3 linked regions of the Alligator mississippiensis genome follow. Each later gene encodes a partner of the first gene's protein in a complex. Links are inferred from orthologs where the notes say so. Each region holds a gene or a part of one and is shown on either strand. Other genes may lie near its edges. The genes, in order: USH1C, CDHR5 and ANKS4B.

Region 1 (7,226 bases):
CATGGATAGCTTGAAAGAAGATATGCATGTGCCCACTGATGCTGGGGGGTGGTACAAGAAGACAAGGGAATTATATTGTGGAGAAATCTCTACTTAGAGCAGATTTTAAGGATGACTTCTGGGAAGGTCTGAATGCATTTTATCTTTGTCTATACTTACATTTAAAACGTGTTCAGCTGCTTCCATTGTTGACACTTGATGTCAGCACCGGATAATATTTGCTGTAGTGCCCTCAAAGGCTTTCCTGTTTTATAGTTGAATCATAACATAGAGGGGATAGATTTATTGAGGATTAATCTTCCAATAACTTGGTGGGTGGCATCTTGGTACATTTAGTAAGTTGGAAACAAGGTAACATACCTCCCTATATAATAATATTGTCAAGTTTATAAACCGTTTTTGAGCTATGAATAATATATTAAAATTTAAATCAGAATATAATGGTGTAGGAAGCCACAGTGACTTTTCTCTATGTCTGCTGGTATGTAAAAAATAGAGAGAACTCCCTTGGAGCCTTTAAGTTCCACCTAGTCTGAAAGGGTCAAAGGAATCTCCTTCCCATGGTGTCTTAAGGCTCCAAGGATAAAAGTTGTCCCTAGACTAGTGGTTTTCAACCTTTTTAGACTTGAGAAAACCCCTTCATAGTTTCAAGGCACTGCTCAATAGACTCGGAAAATGCCATTTCTTCGTTTTCACTCATGTTTTGACTACAAAGAAATAACAGAGCAAGTCTTCTATTACAAAGAACTCAGAAAGACCACAACAGGTCAGAATGATCGATAAGCAGTTTGTTTTACACAGTAGATTATGTAGAGCTCGTCTATTAATTCATACATGAACTCTAGCTCATTCCTTGACAGCACCAACATCCTTTGTACTTAACTGAGGTAGGGTACCCATCAAAAATTAGTAAGTGATAATGTAACTAAGGATTGTATCATCATGCATATTCAAGTAAAGTAGCTTCAGTTAAACTTGCATAGCTATCCTTCACTTTGTCATTCTGTAAATTTTGAGTGTTAACGTTCAACCTAAACATTCATTTAACATAGTTAAATTTAACATAGTTTGCTTGTGTCATTTCCTTTCTAAAAAAGCAAAAGGGGAAAACAGAAATCTGAAGAAGAATAGAAAAAAGGAGTGAAAGGGGCCTCAAGAGGTCATCTGACCCCCTGCTTAAATCAGGATCATCTTTGTCTAAACAACCCGAGACAAATCTTTGTCTAAGCTGCCCTTAAAAACTCAGCAATAGAGATTCTACAACCTCTCTAGGTAATTTTTTCCAGCACTAAATCACTCCTACAGTTGGAAAAGTCTCCTTTATATCCAATCTAAATTTCCCTTGATGCAATTTAAGTCCCTTACTTCATCCCTGACAAGGGAAATAAGCAGAATGCAGCGTGGTCCACCTGCACACTCATGTACCACTACCGCTGTTGGCAAGAAGATGGTGTAGGAGTCCACTGTGTAACCTGTGAGAGCTCCCCCACATCAGGGGATCTTAGCCTTGTAAGTCTTGAGTCCTGAGATATTTGTTAGTTATATTAAAAGCCCAGCTCCTAGAGAGATGATTTTACACAAGAAACTTAGCTTTCATGCATGTGTTTGCTGTCCTCTTGGTATGTTGCTAATCCCAAGCATTCAAATCTCTTCAGTCAGCACCCTTTCTTCCCTACATTTACTACTAAGATTGGCCTATATTTGCATAAAACTAAAAAAAAAAAAAAAGGGGGGGGGGGGGACATTTTTATTTGGCTCCTAGTGTAGAAGTCTTTCTACTTTGTATATACAAACCTTAAATGGAAATTGAGATTGCCTGTAATCACCTGAGCATCTGGGTCTTTAAAAAAAATGGAGACTCTCAATCAAATTGTGAGCTGACAATACTCCTATGGATTGCAGAGAGATGCTTGGAAGGGTGATGTTGTAGCCATGATGGCCATAAGAACATAAGAACTGCCATTTATTGGGTCCAACCAATGGTCCCTCTAGCCCAGCATCCTGTCACGCGCAGGCAGAGAGAAGATGCTGAAAGGGAGAATGAACTAGGTACAACCAGGGGTTTTTTTGCACCATTCCTCTCTCACTTGCAGCCTCCAGCATTTAAAGGCTAGGAAGTTCTAATTCAGGGGCTATATCCTGAACTACCTTGCACACTAGCTACTTATACACCTATCTTCCAAAAAATTGTCCCATCCCTTTTTGAATCTGGCTAAACCATCAAGTTCTGCAACATCTGGAACCAATGTGGTCCACACTTCAATTATATGCTGTGTGAAATGAGGTCTACCCTTTAATTACATACTGTTAGTTTGCAGGGGTTTAGGTTGTAGCCGTGTTGGTCTAAGGATATAGGCAGACAAGGTTCCTTGGGTGAATTTGATATCTTTTATTAGACCAACCCAAATGGTTGGAGAATAGTTATTAAGCAAGCTTTCGGGTTCAAAAACCCTTCGTCAGGCTAAGGACGCTGCAGCAGTTGCTGCGTGCTCTTCCTGGATGGAATGAAAAGTAAACAAGCCAGGGGCTGGGCTGGGCTGGGGAGTCAGTTGCCAGGCAGATTGTAATGTATCAAAAATCCAATGTCTGTGTTTAGTCCCTGATCTCTAGTATCCAGCAGGTTGATGAAATGGAGCTCATAGGCTCGTCTCTGGGATGTGTTGTGTAAATTTCCCTTGAGGATCAGGACTGAGAGATTGGAGAGAGAGTGGCCCTCCTGTGAGAAATGTTAGTTTTACATTTACTGCCTTCTAGTTTAATTTTGTGACCCTTAGTTCATGTCTTATGAGAGAGAGTAAATAATAAATCCCTATCTACTTTCTCTTTGCCATTTAATATGTTGTAAACCCTCCTCCTCTCTCGTGTCTCTCTTTCAAAATTGAACAAGCCTGGCCTCTTTAGTTTCTCCTCATGTGGAAATCCTTTCATACCATTCATAATCCTTGCCCTTTTGTAAGGCAAAAAATTATAGTCCAGAAATGAGGCAAGAGGCAAAGATGTTTTAGGGTGATCTCTTTTTTTTTTATTGGCCGATATATGTAGTTTATCCTGAAATCTACCCAGTTGGTCCCATAAAAGGTATCACCCTGACAAATCCTTCCCTTTTGCATAAATGTTTTACACACACACACACACAACACACACACGTACATGTGTTTATGTGTAAAGTATGTGTTTATATATGTATATGTGTATTATATAGTATATTCAATATACATAATTTTAATTATGTGTATGTGTTCTATATTATATTAAATATAAGGCATATTAATATATATAATTATGTTATGTGTATATTTATGTCTATGTGCATATATGGATGTATATATATGTGCATGTGTATATGTTTGTGCAAGTGATTTTATTAAATATGAATCAGATTATATATAATTACATTATGTATGTGTTATACATGTACATGTGTATATATTTATGTGTGTGTATGTTTGTGTGATTTGTATATATATTAAATATAAATCATTACTTATGTTAATGATATATAATTACATTTCGTATATGTGTATATATTTATGTGTCTGTGTATGTTTGTGTGACTTGTATATATTAAATATAAATCATTACTTATGTTGATATATAATTACATTTCGTATATGTGTGTATATATTTATGTGTGTTTGTGTGATTTGTATATATTAAATATAAATCATTAATTATATAGTTACATTATGTGTACGTGTACATATGCATGTGTATATATATGTGTGCATGTACGTGTATATATGATTGCGTGCATGGGTTATTTATGTGTATCATATCAATCATATATACATGATATAAATAATATTAATATTGAATATAATGCAGATAAATAATACGCACACACACACAATATATATATTTGTGTGCATGTGTTATTGATATGCACCCTATTCAATATAAATTTAATTAACCATATATATCATGGGTATATATGTTTGTGTGAATGCTATTGATATATGAAATATAAATCACATTAATTATGTGTTGCGTGTATATGTGTGTGTGTCCATATGTGCGTGCTATTTATATATCTCATATGAAATATAAAGTCTATATATCACCTTTTATTATAAACCCCACCAATCATATTAAATCATGTTAGTGACAGCCTAATAAAACCCATCCATGACACGTGTTAGCGCCCCTCGAGGCGCACGCTGGACTCCGCGGCTGCTCCGGAGCTCGGCGGCCCGGACGAAGCCCCGCGGGGCCCGGCTCCCGCTGCCGGCCGCGCCGGGGCGGGCCAGGAGGGCGGAGAAAGGTGCCCGCTGGCGCCGCTCCCCCTGGCGGCGGCCGCCTCCCCCCGCGGCCCGGGAGCGGCAGGAGCCGGGAGCAGGGCGCGGGCAGGGCGGCAGTGGGCATGGAGCGCAAGGTGGCCCGGGAGTTCCGGCACAAGGTAAGGGCCGGGCCTGGCAGGGCGCTCCGTGGAGCACGGAGGAGCGCGGCTTCGCCTCGGTGCTGCCTGGTGAGGGGGAAGGCGCCTCCCGCCCCGCACCTGGCCCTGCCATGAACTGCCCGGCAAGTGAGCTGGGAGCCAGGCACTGACAAGCCCCCGGCATCCTCCTCCCAAAGAAGGGCAGGCGTTTAAACTGACCAGAACTTGTAAAGAGAAGACAAAAGAAGACTGGGGATGGGGGAAGCATCCCTTGGGGTGCGTAAGGGGGAAGAGCTGCCCTTAGTGAACAAAAGCCGCTTTGTTATGCGGGAAAAGGAAAGAGAAGCAGTCATAGCAGCCAGCTCTCAAAAGGGGAAGTGAAAAGCGAGGCCCAAAGTCCATGGCTCGGCCGTTTGCAGGAGAGCGGCATGAAAGGGCAATGTTCAAAAGGGATTCGGATCCGCCTTGACATTTGTGTGGGCAATGGTGCGTGCAGCCATCGGCAGCAGACGCTCTTGAGAAAGCTAGCCGGGCACTTGGGGCAACAGGTCACTTTGTCCCGGACCCAAGCAAAGCCTCAGCGAAGGCCATTTGTTACTTGGTGTGCAGCCACTTTTGAAAAATAAAGGCTAGCATCTAGTAAGCAAGTTCAGCCTGAAGCCTCTGCCGAAAAAGACTCTTTCTCAAGTTTCCAGTTGAGATTTTTCTTTTTCCTCAACCTTCCTTCAAGATCTTCTCTACTAGGCAACTTGGTGTTTTTTTTACCCGGCTTCTGATGAGAACATAACTGGATGTATCTGTATATTTTTATTGTTAAGCATAAACATGTCCTAAAAGCTTTTAGAAGCAATATCTTAAAATGAGGTAGAGGGACCAAGAAGAAACCTTTATGGAGAAGCAACTCCAACAACATAAATGAAGACTGGATACATTTTGCAATTGAAATTTACGGCTGACTATGGTTGTCCAATAAAAATTTCCACGTCACTAACTGGCGTGTACTTATCACAGGGTTGGGTTAGGTTAGGTAGAGCCTGAGCTTCTGAGTCAATAATTACCATCTTGGGTCTTTTACCCTATTCTCTTTCATGTTATGTATCATTTATAAATAATCTTGGGCATGAAAGTAAAAGCAATGCATGTGCAAGTAAATATTACCTTTTATTAGGAATTCAGGATCTAGCCCTTTGCTTAAATCAGCCTACAACACCAACATATTAGTCTGTTCGTTAGTTCAGAATTTTATATATTTACTCTTTTGAGGTACTGTAATAAAAATATCCAGCCATAGCCTCTGACTTTCTTATCCGTTTTATGCAATTTATATTTGATTTTTGTAATTTTATTATTTTCTCCCTTTCTGCCAGGCAGAATTTATAACAGTTTACTTGCATTTCCCTCTATGTTCCTAGGAAACCAAAAGGTCCATACAGTATCTTGAAAGCTGGTGTATCTGGGCTGTTGCTTTAATTATATACCATTTCAGTTACAAATGTTATATTACGCAGTTCAGATACTGTTCCCATGTTTTTGTTCTATTGAAGAAACAAATGTATGCCAGATGCTAAATTACTCTAGATGGTTGTGTTTTGGGGTTTAATCATTATTATTACCGGAAATTAAAAAGAATTTTGCAATGAAATTAACTGTCTTATTTAAACATCCTCAGGCAAATAATTTACTTAGTAGTATTCTACAATTCAGAGTTACACAACCACTATAAAGATGTCCTTAAATGAATGTGTGCCATTTCTGTATCAGTTGAGTTTATTTTGAATCTATATAAATAGTGTTTTATTTTCTAATGAAAATATCTACATTTATTTTTCATGTCATTCTCTGTAACTGGTGTAAGGTGATATGTCTCTTGAGACGCACAATACTGTGACTCTTGACCCTTTGGGTAAGAGCCCACATAATCTTGTAGTTCTAAATGACTTGGGTTAAGTAACCAGGCTATATATTATTTGTACAAAGTCTCCTTAAAATTTATTTATTTTCCAATCTAGGTATTTTTTCATAGTGTAAAATTGAGGAGATGTTGTAACGGCTTGTTCATCTCTGGTTTGTTTGTATCCTCCTAGGCTTAAAAGTATAGTTAATGAAGTTAAGGAAAGAACAAATTTTGCATTTATGATGTGTGTTCATACTTACATGTAGTATCCTTTGTCTCCACATCTGTTTATTCATAATGCATTTGGATATTAAACCTATATTGACTGCAGAGATAGAAACAGGAACTATTAGATTGAACTAAACCAGTGGTCAGGTATTCTGTTTCTGATAATAGCCAGTACCAGAATCTTTTAAGGAAGGGGAAAGAAACTGCAACTGTAGTATAACTTGTCAAAAACCTGTCCATAACAGCACCTAACACTTTCCAGAGGCTAGCTCACATCCTGAAATAGGAGTAGTTTATATTCTTTTTATATTTTTGTCTCCCATGTAACTCTGGATGTTCTCTGTAGTCAGATAAATGTCTCCTTAATTAAAATCTTCCAAACTTTTGTCTCTAGTGTCTTGTGGTAGAGTAGTGATTCTCAACTAGAGTGTCGTAGCAGCCTGGGGTGCCTTGAGATCCTTTCAAGGGTGCCCCAAGGTACCACTCAATGTTAGTACTATTAGGCGTACAAATATGATTCACAAAATAAAACCAGAGTTTTTAAATAGGAATTCATAATGTTAAAAACATTCTGACCTGTTGTGGTCTTTCTTAGCTCTTTGCAGCAGATGACTTGCTTCATTATTTCTCTGTAGTCAAAAAACAAGTGAAAACTAGAAGTTGGAATTGTCAGAGGGGTGCCTTGAGTCTAAAAAGGTTGAGAGGCGATGTGGTAGAGAATTCCTCAAA
Region 2 (7,839 bases), about 9.1 Mb from region 1:
GCGACACCTGTATCCAATGCTTTTGTGACCTGATCTTAAAAGGCAATCAGGTTGGTCTGACGTTGTAGGGTCTGACATTGTAGTCTAAGTGCACCAACTGGCACGAATCATTCGAAAACAAATTCAGAAGGAGAAAATTCATAAGCAACTTTTACTTCCCTATCCACATTAAAAAAAACTCTAATGTGCCTGGCAGAAAATCTAACACTCGGAGTTGGTGGCCCCAACTGCCTTGAGTACAATAGCCAGGACAAAAGAGTAAGTGGTAGCAATGGAAAAGGTTTTCCTAGCTACCAAGGAGGGTAGGTGTTGCAAAAATAAATAAATAAATAAAATCAAATCTGGTCACGTCAAGTTGATGTGGGGGCTGAGGGGGATCCAGGAAAGGGTCGGCTGGGTTGTGGCCACAAACCCAGCACGTACAGATGGGTACTTTCGACCGCTGGAGTAGAATTAGGCACAAACGCGTACTGGTTCAAACAAAGATGGCTTTACTTACACTGTCGAGATGTACAGCGTAGGAAGAAAGTTAACTTCAAACTTCAGTTTCAGTTTAACCGAGGAGCTCTGATAAGACGAGATATCTTTAATACGAGCATTCAGGACATGGGGGTACGTCGGGGTCGGTCGGCGATGGGGAGTCGGCGGCAGTTGATCAGTCTGCCATGTTCACTCCGAGATGGGCGCGGAGTTCTCCAACTTGGGCGGAAACCGCTCCAACCTTTTATACGGCTAGCGAGCCAATTGCTAGTCGCCACATAGGAATAATTTAGAACCGGCCAAGTGAATTTGCATATGAGTGGCGAGAACCTTTCCACGCCGGGGCTCTCCACTGTGCCGAGAAATTCCCTCGTACAAAATCTCACCGTGCCTTGTGCTAGAAAGTTCCACTGTGCTGAGGCACTCAACCACTAGGCTCTGACAGTTGACTGAATTCCCAGAAACCTTTTCGAGACAATTCAGTTAAGAGCTGGCAATAATTGTGGCCTAAAGTTAACCCCAGTAAAATGAATGTCAAGGAACATCCAGAACAATGGAACAATGGAACCAGAAATTAAAACAACGTTGTGATCATTGCAACTAATTAGTGTGGGAACAGGAAAATATTCCAGGTGCGTTAAGGCTATGCTATTATAAAGCTTCCAAAATATTATATAATCAAGCTTGGCTAGCCTTAGTAATGGTGACATCACTAAAGGTTTAAATAGTAGGGCTGTGAGAAGCTTCAGTCACCAATTTGATTCACCGGAGATTCAGCCCAATTTGGTGGCCAAATCTCCAAATACAAATCAAATCAGGAGACCCTTTAATCTCTCCGAATTGAATCAGAACCCTCCAAAATTGATTCAGAGAGATTCAATGATTCAGACATAGACACAGCTTTAAATGTTTTTTCTACATATCTCAAGGTACCAGGCAATTTGTGAATGCTGGGAAGGATGGAGCGCCCCATAGGAGTGCAGGGGAGTCTGCAGCATGCTCAGTGGTGCACCTGGAAGTGGACCAGAAGTGCTTCCGGTCCACTTCCAGGTCCGCCGTGGAGCGTGCAGGGGACCCCCTGCTCTGCCCCTTAGCTTGGCGACTGGTGCCTCCTGGGTCTGGTGGGGGCACCTGTGCACTTGACAGCAGACCTGGAAGTGGACCAGAAGTACTTCTGGTCCACTTCCAGGTCCGCTGCCAAGCACCTGGGGGGGCCCTCTCCATGTTCCTGTAGGATGCTCCATCCACCCCATGCTCCATCCACTCCACCATCCACGAGCCGCACCTGGTACCTCGAGGTATGTAGGAAAAAAACCCAACATATAAAGCTGTGTCCATGGCCGAATTGCTGATTCTCTGAATCAGCATCGAATCTTCATATTTGGATTCAGACGAATTGAATTGAGACAGTGATGCAAATCAATGAATTGATCACTGTCCCCCGATTCAGGCCGAATCCAAATCAAATACAACCCATTTTGCACACCCCTATTAAATAGCCTAAGCAAGTAAAATCACCATTCGCTGTTTGAATCACCTTCATGGATTTTTGAGGGAGGGACCGGCATGGATTTCTAAAGGAAGACCAAGCCTTCAGGTTTGGAAGATCGCAACCCAGGAAGCTCACCCAGTACGACTGACAGAGGGGAATGCCTCCTGAGTAACAGCTCTAAACAGACTGTGATGCGGTAAGGAGCCACGTTAACACACTCGGTTTTTGACAACTGCCTGTTTATATTTTGGCAATCCCAGTAAAGTTGACTACTTGTATACTGGCAACCCCAGTTGTTTAGTTGCTTTGTGTTTAATGGATAATTTTGTAATCAGTAAAGCTTCTAACTAATTATCAAACAAGTGCTGATAGTTAATCACATTGTTCTCCTTGTCCACAAAAGAGTAGGGCTCAAATTTCAGCCCAACACCCTGCCACCCCAGCGTTGCCAGTGCCCTTCGCTCCTGACCTGCAGCCCCGTGACCCCCCAACACTGGGATGGGGCTGCCACCTCGTGCCAGTTCAAAGCACCCTCTGGTGCACAAAGGGGTGAACTACAAAAAAGCTGCAGCGCCATCGGTGGACAATGAAGGTCATCTTTGAGTGCTTTTGTGTTTGCACGCAATGAATCCATAGCTACGGCGATGTAATCGGTGGTGACACAAACTAAACTATGTCCCAGGAGTTTTATTTTAATGCGCTGAAAAGACTTTTAAAAACTGCAGGAAATCCCATTCGTGCAAGCAAAACCAGTTGCAGTGTCCTAAAGGGCAAATCTCGTGGCGTGTACATGTAGTCCAAGAAGCTAACTCTGAAAGTGGTATCTGGCTTGCTCCACTGCTAAATTAAATCATACAAAGAAGCCAAGCTGCTGTGTGACCTTATCACCCGAGCAATCAATACTTTCAAATATCTTTTGTCAATATGTCACACAAAGAAACATCAAAAGGAGTCAGAGCTTACTGACACTCACACATCCTGAAAGAGGGAAATGGGGTATAATATAAGCTTTGCAAACCTTCAAGGCTGAGGCACTAGAGTGCTGCTGCAACTTTTCTCTTAGGAAAGACTTCCCATGATCAAATGAAACTTTGATGTCAAGTAGGGAAAAGAAAGAATCATTTCCAGGATCCCTTTTGCAGGATGGAGGACCTATGGATTTTGTCTGAAATCCAGGCCTCAAGGTGCTTGCTGCTGTATGTGCAGAGACACATGCACAGATGTGTGTGTGCACACATACACGCACGGAATAAGGAACAGTCTCTATACCTAAGAGCTTATAATTTAAATAAACCTGACAAACAAAATACAACATCCCCATTTCACAGGTAGAAGAACTGAGGCACAGAGTGACTTAATTAAAAGGACACACCAAGAATCTGTGAGAGCCAGAAACAGAACTCAGATTTCCTAAGTCCCAGTAAAAACACACAGACCCAACCTTCTTCATTTTTCTGTTCTAGCTCCCCAAAATGGCTCTTTAGCAAGGCGTGTTCATCAACAGACTATATACACTCTTCTGCTACAGTCCCCAGATTTTCATCTTCTTCCCCAATGACCCTTTTAATAAGATGTTTAGCACCTATTCCTCCACTGTACCTTTCTAGTTAAATAGTATCTCAGTAAAACCACCCCTAGTTCAGTTCTGACATGGCTTATGATCATACGGAATACACATCAACTCCTAACTTCTTCATGCTCCAGTAGCTTGAAAGAGAGACAAAAGGAAAACCTCCTTGCAACAGAATTATAATACTTTGACTTTTGCACTGTTTGTTATCTGTGAATAGCAGAACACTTTGCACCCATGGTGCCCTCTGTCTTTACAAATGACAAGAAATGTTAGCTGCCCGGCTAGAAGTTCCTCAAAGGACTCCAATCTTCACAAAGTGCTGATCCCTTTGGAAAATATATATCTATATATATCTAGCTATATCTATATAGCTATATATCTAGCTATATAGATATAGATATATCAGGCTGTCATAGGGGTTGGATGGCCAAAAATCTGTGTACCAAACACCAGTAGTCATGTTTTTAAAGCATAGGCTTCCTAATATCCCTCTGAAAAAGAAACATTTTATAGAAGAAAAAAGTAAGGCACAGATGACTTGCACAAGGGCACAGGAGACATCAGTGGTAGGGACAGCAAGAGTATGCAGGCATGCTAATGCCTAGCCTGAGCAGAAAGCAGGAGTTCTACCCCCTGGTCCCAGACCATTCTACCTTCTCCTTCTATTGCAGTTGTTACGCTTTACCTTTAGCTTCCAGTGAGCAATGCAATATATAGTCTGATTAGGAGCAGGGAAAGAGCAAAGCCAACAGGGAGAACAGGGCTTGCGCCAGAACAGAGCTGACCAAACACAGCTGGCATAGAATAATGCATGGGGAGAAGCAAGCTAAGGTTGGCCTGAATCACTATTAAGTCTACCAAGAAATATTCTCATCAAGAACAGGTACGTACGAGGTGCAAAGTTAACCCACATCATTAGCTTGGTATATATCGTAGCACACACACTTGGTAATTATACGGTGCCCATGACTGGAGAGGTCAGGACAAGCAGACAGCTTTTTAGGGGTCAACAAGCACCCTGCTTCCACACTTATTCGGGGACATTCTGCATCTAATCTTAAAAGATGTGGAATTTCTCACAGTCCCTGCAAGAGTTAAGAATCAGAGGACAAAGAGCCACAGAAGAGCTGCGGCGTTTACTGCTCATCACACCCAGTACCCAGGTACCGGTAAATGAATCATAAATGATTCATCCAATAGGGCAAGGAGGCAAAGGTTGAGCGGCAACAGTTGGGAATTAGTGCCAGCCATGCAATGTTCTTCACCACCATTCGGAGGAGTAAATGGATGACAAAGTACTGCTGACTCCAAGGGAGGAAAGAGGCAGGAGTGCTCCACCCACAGCCAGGGTTTCCCTTTGCTTTCTGCCGTCTGCGCCATGGCTGTTTCTCATCGGCTCTCTGCCTACGTACTCTTTCTGCTGCTACCCCTAATACAGAGCCAAGGTAAGTCAATGCCTTTGGAGTCCGGATGGATGAAAGTGAAAAATCTCCTTGGTTGCCTACCTCAGGATGTTGAATGCCTTCTTCCAAGGCATCAGCCACAGCTGGAGACTAGCTGCTGGAGTAAATGCACCTTAGATCTGATCCAGTTTGGCAATTCCTGTGTCTGACGGAAATATTGTGCCTTTTTTTCAGGATGCTCTGTAAATAATGCCAAGCCATTGGTACGAGAAAATAACTCTGCTGGCTTAGTGGTGACCAACATTACAAAGGCTGCTGGTATCACAGTAACAATCAGTCCCACAGCGGATGGAAATTGCTTCTCCATTCGTGACACAGAACTGATTCTAAGCTGTTCCTTGGACTATGAGGTAAGTTATTAAATGAAAAAAGGCAAATATCAGCTAATTTAACATTGCAAAACACTTTCTATAATGTACTTTTTACTGTGACAGTCCAATGGCTCTGTCAGTCGTAGCAAGTGAAGCTTTTTAAAATGGCGCCTACCTTTTCAGTTTCTCTGAGCTTTAATAGCCTAAGCAGGGAACCTGCATGTACAAGTCTGGCCCAACTACTGTCTTGTTAGAAATCCACTCCAGGAAGGGCATAAGGCATGTTGCTTAATGGAGCAAGATATGGGTTCTTAAGTGGAAATCTGTCGAGTCAGTGGAGTTCTGAACCCAAGCAGCTGGTCCATGTGCACGTCTGGTCTGTGTGCATTTGTCAAATAAAGCTAGCATGTAAAAAAAAAAAAATCCTGTTCCCTTCCACGGCCTTTCCATTTTGAAATGTAAATGTTCAATCTTGTTAACTATTTCCCAGCTAATTAGTTTACGATCCATCCACTGGGATCATGCCAAGCTCTCCTCCTCAGGAGTCAAGGGTCAGTTTCCTACCCAGCTATAACTCCCCCGTCCTGTACAAGCTTTACCTTGCTCCCAGCAACAGCTTTTCCAACATAGCCATGTTTTTTCAGATGTAAAATTAAACTCTGCGGCATGTTGCACAATAATAAATTGAATCTAAAAATAAACACCTGGGGCCCCCCGTCTGTATTTGCTGTATGATTCATTGTCATCCCATTCAATTAAAATCTCCATTTTAGCTTGCCTGAATCTACTTCAGATCTCCCTGTAGACAAAATTCCACATTACAGCCAGGGGGGCATCAGTTGTACGGGGGAGTTAGACAAGCAATTGGTCCTCATAATGGATGTAATTGCAGCAATTGGTATCTGTTAAACAGAAAACCTGCAAAGCTTCTAAGACCGCTCGCTCTCTCTCTCTCTCACACACATCCACCATAGAGAGCTCCTCAGTTCACTCTCATATGTAAGGATGGTCTCTGATCTGTTTTATACCTCTGTAAAGGTGAAACAATTTTTTGGAAAACGGTGGAATTATTTCAAGTTGGTAGTCATGGTACTGAGATCAGAAACTAATTGGAAACCTGTAAAAGGAAAGGAAAAATCCCTATCATTTTTAATTTAACAAAAGGATCCTGGAGGCCCTAACTGATCAAAGCACGTATTCTCTTATTTTACTTGAAGCATAGGCTTTCTTTAAGTACATTAGAGGAAGAAAGTCTGCCAGAGACTTAGTTGGGCTACTGGATAATGAGGGTGTAAAAGAAATGCTTAAAGAGGACAAGGCTATTGTTGAGAAATGGAAGTTATGCACAGATGTAGCATTTGTCACGGGAGAAAGTCTTTTGTTCTGGGACTGTACAGAAGTACATGTCTGCTGTCCTGCTTCAGGTCCCTCTGCAGTAGGCAGATAAAATGTACTAACACTTTTTTCCCCAGGATACCCTATTGTACATCTGTACGATTATGACAGTTCATTCCAGTCTCTTGGGCTGTGTGCTCTTGCTGGCCACCTACTACTGAAAAGGCAGCAATGCATCTTGGAAAGGCTACATGTGTATATGACTGTGCAGCTCCTGTTTTGATTCAAGTCATACCTCTGGGTAATCAGTCCTGAGTCAGAACAACACATCTGTATACAGCCTAAATGAGTTCCTTGTATCAGCCTTACTGGGGAAGATGGTGGGTAGATTCTCTCACCAGAGCCCAGGGGACAGGTCAGTAGAACTGATTCACATTGAGGTATCAGTAGATGACATTTTAGAAGATATTAATAAACTAAACAGGAAGAAATCACCAGGACCTGATGGTATTTACCTTAGAGTCTTGAAGGAGCTCAAATCTGAAATAGCTGATCTACTTGCTAAATATACAATCTGCCACTAAAAACAGCTTTGGTACCAGAGAACAGGAGAGTTGCCAATGTAATTTCAATTTTTAAAAAGGCTCCAGAAGGACTTGGGGAAATACATCTAGCTTGTGTTCCTGGCAAAATGGTAGAAGCAATAATTAAACAAGTATTGTTCAGCATATGGACAAGCAGGCCTTGCCAGGGAGAAATCAGCCTGGTTCTGTAAAGGGAGGTTATATCTTACCAACCTGCTAGAGTTCTCCAAGTGTTTCAACAAGAATGTGGATCAGGGAAATCCAGTAGTCCAGTTGATATAGTATATCTGAACTTCCAAAAAACCTTCAACCAAGTCCTACATCAAAGGCTCTTAAAAGTAGGTTGACATATGATTAGAGGGAATGTCCATTTGTGGATCTGAAATTGGCTTAATGATAAAAAAACAGAAAGTAGGGATAAACAGTCAATTTTCAGAATTAAAAGAAGTAAACAATGGGGCCCTGCAGGGATCTGTGTTGGGACAAGTGCTGTTTAAAATATTTGTAAGTGACCTGGAAAAGGGGATCAGTAGTAAAATGGCCAAGTTTGCCAATGACATAAGATTATTCAGAATGGTAAAGGCCAAAGTGGACTGTGAAG
Region 3 (7,550 bases), on another chromosome or scaffold:
CTACTTAACTTTTTATGAGAATTGCATAGTGCAAGAGGATGTAAGTTTGTGGCTGGACCTTCTGAAAAGAAATAATGAGGCACCACTTCCAGCTTATCTTACTGTATTTATGATGATTTTAAGAGGCTCCTATTTGTCTGGTATGTAACTGTATGAACTGTCTATCCTTGATTTATTAGAGACATTCTCCATATGGACTTTGATAGGTGCCTCCTCCTGATTTACTCTGGTTTTGCCTCAGTGGTTCCCTTGATCTTCGAAGGGCAACTCCTCCGAAGCTTTGTGTTTTTCTTGGTTGTTAATCAATTTTTGATACGTTCCAACTTAATAGAAATGGATAACCTCCTATTAGCGAGGAAGGTAATTCAATCAAAATTGGGACTTTCTGATAACCAATAATGAACAGTTTGATTAACAGGATTTTCCTGTTCATTACTGCTTGGGATTCTCTCTTGATTTACACAACTACAGGAATGCTTTTGAAGATGCTGAGCTAGAGGATGTGAAAGAGGAATGAAGCAGCTAACAGGAGAAATCATTCTGACAAGAGCTGCTGCTGTGCCCCGCTGATCGCCTGGTGAATGGATCCACACCTTGAGAAGCTGGCAAGGTTGAGACCACCTCTTTGCCTGTAATTAGTGAGAAACTATCACTTTTACAGCTAAATGTACTGGATTTTGCTTTGCTTTAGGCTCATTTAACAGTCAATACCTGTAGTAAATAATGCTTTTCTGTCATCCGTTGAATGAGTTGTCCTTCCAATCCTTTCTTTATACACTAGTCCTGAATCCCATTTCACTTAACAAGCATGAGCTAAACCCATCGATTTCAAATAGGAACTCATAGTGTCAAAAATAATCTGACCTGTTGTAGTCTGAGTTTTGTGCAAAAGAAAAAACGCTCTATTTTTTTACTGCAGTTAAAAAGGAGTGAAAGCAAAGAGCTGGCATTTGCAGAGGGGTTCCTTGAGTCTAAAAAGGTGAGAACCAATGTGCTAAAAAAACCCAAATATTGTGTGTGGGGAGGAGGACAAACGTAAGTGAATCACTGCTTCTGCTACCACAAAAACCTCTACATGTGCTGTTACATATTCCATGTGCTATGCTATGAGGAACACAGATATGTCAGGCTTTGGGCAATACCACTAAGGATTTCCTTAGATTCTACCTGAGTAGAAGTTATTGCTGGACAGTCTCAGCCAACATCTTGGATGTGGATTCATGCTCTAACCTCTCTAACTCCTAATGAGGCTGAGTCAGGGATGGTCAAGATTTCATATAGTACAAGGGACTTGAAGGACTGCAGCAAGAGTTTTGCCTGTGCAATGCAAGTAGGACCACGTATTGTTACATTGTCATTGATGGATGTAGCTGTAATTACTAAATGCAACTGGATTCATTAATCTTTTAACCTCTTAGTATTAACAGATCTCATTATACAAGCTGAGGGGGCTTACTTACCTCCTTTCATATGACATTCCCCATCCTGAACTTGCCATTTACAAAAGTGTAGTCAGGAACTAGTGTGCTATACCTCATGCAAAATAGATGGTACAATAACACCTCTGCCTTTCTAATTGGCATGATGCAAATCAGGGTTCTGAATTGCCTGCAACAAAATATCTAACTAACAATTCCATGGTCTTAGAATCCGACCATGTTGTGTATCTGCCATATTATATCTGTAAGAGCTAGGAAAACAATAAGCAGAGATGTTGAGAAATCCGTTAACAAATCAAGACCGTTAGTTAAATAATTCATTAGTTTAGAACAAGACATCCAACATCAGTGGAGTTTCTCCTGAGCCTGATGAGACATTTCAATTTGAAGTGGAATGGTTCTGAACTTTTTTTCAACACAAAAAGAAAAGCTCCATTCTAATTGCTCAGGAGACTTTGCAATTTTGAACTCGACTGTGAAAAGAAAATCTCCATTCAGGCTGACAAATTTAGCTCATTCAATGTTGAATCATTTATTATGTTTTAAGCTCTGGTTTTAAGATGGGGACAAAAACTAACAAACACCAGGGCTTTAGAAATAGATGGAAATGTGGTTTGATCTCTCTGTGCTGCCTGTTTTTGCGACAATCACAATAAGCCTTGTGACGTCCTGTACTTTCTTTCTTCCTGAAGCAGGTTTTGCTTTGCATTCAATTAAAATGTGCAACAAAAACAATTTCTTTTGAACATCAGAAGAAAAAAACATTCTTTTAAAAGTGGATCCTTTCATTTTAAGCAATAAAGATTACTTAGAGAATACTGTTTCTTACTGCAGAGGCTAGTAAATTTGTTTTTATAGGAGAAAATGATTTTGGAGAGAAAGGTAGAAAATTCTCTTTTGCTATTTCCCAGTTTTAAAACCGGCCAGGGATGTAGCTAACAATTTGAAATGCTGTTGCACAGAAGACAGTAATGACTCATCTCATGCTATACTTATGAGCTCATAAAATCACTAACAGCTTACAGCTATCCAATATCTACTAGCAGTATCTATTAAATTAGATATCCATGACAGTATTGAATACAGTAACAAAAATGCCAGAGCTCAAGGAATCTTGAATCCAATAAATTATAGCTTAATGCAGTATCATATATAGCATACGCTTCCATACAGCTGTGTTTTTTCTAGCATTTCCAACTTTGATCCAATAGCAAGGAGAACAGTGAATACAGTCACTGGAAAGGCAAGTCAATTTATTTTAAGTTTTTGGAAAAAAAACAATTTCTGGTAATTGATATTCACCCAGGAGGATGAAGAAAGGGGCATGGGTGTGTCTGGATACCATGTTCTGTTATAACACATGGTACACATGAACAACCAAGGTGGGTAGTAGCCACCCTGATCATACATTATTGCAATAGGTGGGTGGACTGCTATACAGGGCATAACAACATAATTTTGTCTTCAATACTTGTTCAGTTTAAGAGTGTTTATTACGGCATGAGTCTGGTCCTCTCTCTCTGTCAACACATGCAAACCTTGGCTCCTGAAGATTTCAGCCCCATCTGAAAAGATATTTGAGGTAGGAAACCTATTTGTAGGGGCATCACAGATGTAATATGGAAGGGATTGTGGAAAACAAATGAGACTTCACTGCATGCAGCAGTTATACTGATTCAAGTAAATACTGTTTTGTAATTGCTACTTCCACTCTAGCTGAGAGCATACCAAAGAATAAAAGGCTCCAAACGTCAAATCCTGTTAGTGCTAATTCTTGCCTGCATGTTGTGTAAAGTACTGGTTAAAGCAGTGAAATGTATAAAACACCACCGGGGAAAAAATAATGCTAAATGACAGGTATATTGATTGTAACCAAGACAATAGAAGGGCAATTTGGGGCTTTTTATTAAACAATCAGTCTTCCCACATCGATTTCTGCTTAGCTACTGCTTCAAAACTGACCTTTTACATTGACTTCAGTCTAGAATTCTTCTGTATCTCCAGGTTAGAATTTGGGCCCCATCCCGCAGGCTTTTCCTCGCACAGTGATCTTTATTCATACAAGTCAAGCCAAAGGTGCACTCAAGCCTAATGGCCCATAAAGCTAGTGTGATTCTAGCACTCCCGCTTCTGTAGCCAATACCACACAGGGCACAATGTGGTTGCCATCACATTTGGCCATTTTTGGCTCCCCAGCCTGAATGACCATGTTCCATTTGCAGCTGGGTCAATTGGACTGCAGCTCTAAGCAAATGTCCAGAAGGGGTCTCAAAACGTACGTTTCTTGAACCACAGTGAGATACTTTAATGGCTTTTCCCATCATACCCCTACTGTATTCTTACAGGCCATCCAGTTAAAATTAGGGGGACCATACCCCCAAGGGGAAGACCTCTTATTATGAGGATGGGGGACCGACTGGGAGGCCAAGCCCAGGACTATTGAATTTTATTTCTAGCTCTGCCACTAAATCACTTTGCTACCTTAGGCAAGTCATTAAAACTCTCTGCATCTCCCATTTGCCTGTCTGTAAAATGGGGATAGCAATACCTATTAGCATATTTCATATATGTAACACCCTTTAAGATCCTGAGATGAAGTGAGCTGTATGGTGAAAAATATCATTCATTTGGTTTTATTTTCACAGACAAGGTGAATTTGTTGTAATTAGCTAAGAATAAAAGACTGCATAGTCTGAAGTGTAGTGGCTTGTAATGTGTTCTGTTTCACCCACCCAGGGTTGGTTTTAACACAGAGTAGAATCTTGCTCATGCTGAAATCAATAGCAAAGCTCCCTTTGACTTCACCCCAACTGTGTAAGGAAGGGGAAGAGGGACATGTGGTTAGAGAAAGAATCCCCCTTAATTTTTAACTGTAAAATACTGGAGTTAAAAGCAAATGGACAGTCACTTCACAGAAAAGACACCTGTATAGCAGCTGCTTTAGTGAGGCGGTGTTCCAGGCAAGTTGTGTACTGGGATGAACTTTGCCTTTTTATTTCAATCCGGAAGCTGACATCTTGGCTTGTAATTATTAACTAACTATCCTGATAGCGAAAGTGTGGCTGCATGCACCTGCTAGAACTCGGAGTGAAACAGTGCCCCAGGACGCTGCTGTGGGATCTACTGAAAATGTCGACCAGGTATCACAAAGCAGCTGCTGACGGCAATCTGGACCTTTTGAAAGAAGCGACCAAAAAAGATCTCAATACTTCAGAAGAAGATGGGATGACACCCACCCTTTTGGCAGCTTATCACGGGCTTCTAGAAGCTCTGGAAGTCATATGCAGCAGAGGGTAAGTATAACAGGCCTCAACCTCTCAAAGCCGATGAAACAAAATTACAATTATCATGCAGCACCTTTTAATGCAAATACTGGTGCAAATGGGCAGTTTCTTGCTTTCTAAATTACTTGTTTTCTTGTGGGGGCTTTCAATCTTTATCATGTGTAGCTGCTTCATTTTTTTTCTATTGGTTGAGCCCAGTGGTATTCAACCGGCAGGCTGGATCGGGCAGAGAGAGTGAATCAGTCCTGTGCCACTCATCAGGTCCGCAGAGCCAGATGGATGGGGTGCTACTGGTTTAGGCCATAATCAAACAAGCTGCTCTGTACAAATCAGGCCCCGGTGCACTAGCATAGACTTACAGGCTTCTATGGCGTCTGAGCAATGTATAGTTTTAGAAACTAGGATGCAGGACTGCTGCTAGCGAGAGCTACAGGAGCTGCCATTTACTTCAACGGAAGTTGGAATACACCCTTAACTTTATAGTTTTGTAAATTAAAGTACATTTAATTAAAGTGTATTTAATAGCCTCCAGATAATTTTCAGAAGGAAACCAGAAAGAGCTGAATCTAAAAATGTGATTTTTCTGCTCTTGATAGCATTAGAAACTGAAGTTATGCCTGAAAAACAAATCTGTGCTTCTGCTGGAGCTGGTAAAATTTCAGGAAAAAAATGCAAAGGAATTAAATATAGACTAAAGGAGGTTTCTCTGATGTAGTTTTTCCTCACATTAATTATTAAATGCACCAGCACTATAGATAAATTATAAAAAGGTCATTCCCCTACTCTGGATTGCCCACTGTTTCCTCCAAGTCTTCTCTTTAGGCTGTCATCCTAGGGGTCTATTTCTTAGTGGAGTCTTCCACTGGGGAAAGAAGGGGACTAGAGCATTTTCACTTGGGGAAACCATCAAAGAGCAGAGGGCAGAAAACTAAGGAAAGATAAATACTTCTTTAGTTGTGTTTTGCCCTTCTGCAAAAATAGAAAAAAAGTTCCCTGTACATGGTAAGTGTAATAGGTAGATGCCCCTCTTAGCTTCTTGATCTAAGGTGTGGCTATAGAAACACCTGACTGCCAATAAAAGAGACCTTTAGACTATATAGCTATTGCTATAACCTTAGGAAAAGCAAAAAACAGAAGCCAGATTCTAAATTGGTACAAAACAATATGTAATTCCAGTGATGTTGCTGAAGACATTGGAGATCTGGCTTATAATTTAGGAAAAGATAAAAAGGGAAAATTAACTAGTTAAGAAAAATAAATAGAGCAAGATAACGTGTTCCCAGGTTCCACGGTCTTATATACACCAGTGCCAATCACAAAATAGGGCACAGAGCACAAGGATTTCCACAGAGCTGTATTCTCTATTCATTAGTTACACTAGTTTATTTAAAATTGGTATCAGCTTGGTACAGGACAGCATCCAAAAGCTTCAAACCTTTATTACTGATGATTTCCTGAAAGCTTTCATTTTAACCTGAGACTCCTTAACTTTGAGAGTCAGAGAAACTGGTCTAAATCTCAGCAATGTTTGTTTGGGTCTTTGGAAGAAGCTGCATTTTGGAAGATTTTCAAACAATGCCCCTGGCTGATGGGGCTTTCAAGAAAAAAAATTGACTTATTATTTCTAATACGTGCCTCTTTTCCTTAAAGCAAAAGGAAGGAACACCCAGTAAGGGAATGACATGGGACCCGGGAAAACTGGGTTCAGGTCTGTGCTCCACCCCAGAACTCCTGTGTAACCACAGGCAAGGCACATTAGCTGCACAAAAGTCCTTGGGTATGCAAGTGTGATTAGCATAAGGGATTTCTAAGACCATTCAGCTGCCCCATTACCATGGACACACCTAAACTTCTTACTTATGTATGTATGAATACATTTGATTTATATACTGCCCTTCCAAAAAAGCTAAGCTCAGGACCACTTTCAATCCAAAACAAAACGACACATAAAAACAGAACAAAGTATTACGTTGGTCAGTGTGACAAACTAAGCCTTCCCCAATCCTCCCACTCCCTGCCTCGCATCCAGGAGTCCCCTCCCCCTTCCCATAACGTCCCTCTGAAGCTCATCCCTCTCTCACCTGGCGGGGTTGTTCCCCAAACCCGCTCATTCTCCCCTTCCTCCCAAAGAAGCACATTATTCAGTTTATAACCAGAAATACAATGCCTGCCCCTGCCCCATCCCTGCTGAAATGTGATACCAAAGGGGACCACTGAGTGTTGCCCTTTGGTAGCACCTACCCAAAGGCACCCTGCAGTCCCCTTAAAGCCCACTAGCTGGCTGGGCTCTTCCCCTTTCCAGCTCAGGCATCTGCAGAGTCAGTGTCTGCTCCAAGTCTCAGTCCTCCCCTACTCTGGACTTGGCTTCCAGAGCAGGTGGCAGAGAGATCAGCATCCCCTGAACTGTGGGTTGCGGCAGTCCATAGGAAGCCTGGGAGGCCAGCAGAAAGAGTAGTCTTTAGCCAAGGGCAGCATGCAGTCCCTATGAATCTCTGCTTTTCAAATCCCAGGAGTATTTTGGGGGAAGGGTTAGGAATAGCAGTTTAAGCAGCAGCTGAAGAAAAACTATGGCTTCTGCCTGAACATTACCTAATTATAGTAGACATGGAGACTTAGGCCTTTTTTCTTAATAATTTACTTATTACCCATTGTGAAAGTTGCTGTTATTACCACACAAACTATGTCCTGAGGCAGTCAAATGCAGAGGTTTCCCACTGTTCCTGCATTTTACATCAAAGAAAGAAAGGCTGATCTCAGTAGCTTTTAAAATACCGTGGGTGAAATCCCAGTCCCGCTGAAAGCAGTAGAAGTTTTGTCATTGATGTCA

What was found.
Region 2: USH1C (region 1) and CDHR5 share a complex: the UniProt entries of both Homo sapiens proteins name them as parts of the IMAC/intermicrovillar adhesion complex. The link is inferred for Alligator mississippiensis from reciprocal best matches to the Homo sapiens genes USH1C and CDHR5.
Region 3: USH1C (region 1) and ANKS4B share a complex: the UniProt entries of both Homo sapiens proteins name them as parts of the IMAC/intermicrovillar adhesion complex. The link is inferred for Alligator mississippiensis from reciprocal best matches to the Homo sapiens genes USH1C and ANKS4B.

The regions. Positions count from the first base shown.
Region 1 is NC_081825.1:192,394,417-192,401,642, forward strand, and holds the start of USH1C (harmonin), read left to right. Parts: upstream 1-4,209; 5' UTR 4,210-4,360; coding exon 4,361-4,396; intron 4,397-7,226. UniProt on the Homo sapiens protein: Anchoring/scaffolding protein that is a part of the functional network formed by USH1C, USH1G, CDH23 and MYO7A that mediates mechanotransduction in cochlear hair cells. Required for normal development and maintenance of cochlear hair cell bundles.
Region 2 is NC_081825.1:183,257,813-183,265,651, reverse strand, and holds the start of CDHR5 (cadherin-related family member 5), read left to right. Parts: upstream 1-4,801; 5' UTR 4,802-4,923; coding exon 4,924-4,990; intron 4,991-5,182; coding exon 5,183-5,358; intron 5,359-5,494; exon of another isoform or gene 5,495-5,714; intron 5,715-7,839. UniProt on the Homo sapiens protein: Intermicrovillar adhesion molecule that forms, via its extracellular domain, calcium-dependent heterophilic complexes with CDHR2 on adjacent microvilli. Thereby, controls the packing of microvilli at the apical membrane of epithelial cells.
Region 3 is NC_081836.1:46,290,760-46,298,309, forward strand, and holds the start of ANKS4B (ankyrin repeat and SAM domain-containing protein 4B), read left to right. Parts: upstream 1-4,480; 5' UTR 4,481-4,505; coding exon 4,506-4,732; intron 4,733-7,550. UniProt on the Homo sapiens protein: As part of the intermicrovillar adhesion complex/IMAC plays a role in epithelial brush border differentiation, controlling microvilli organization and length. Plays a role in assembly of the complex.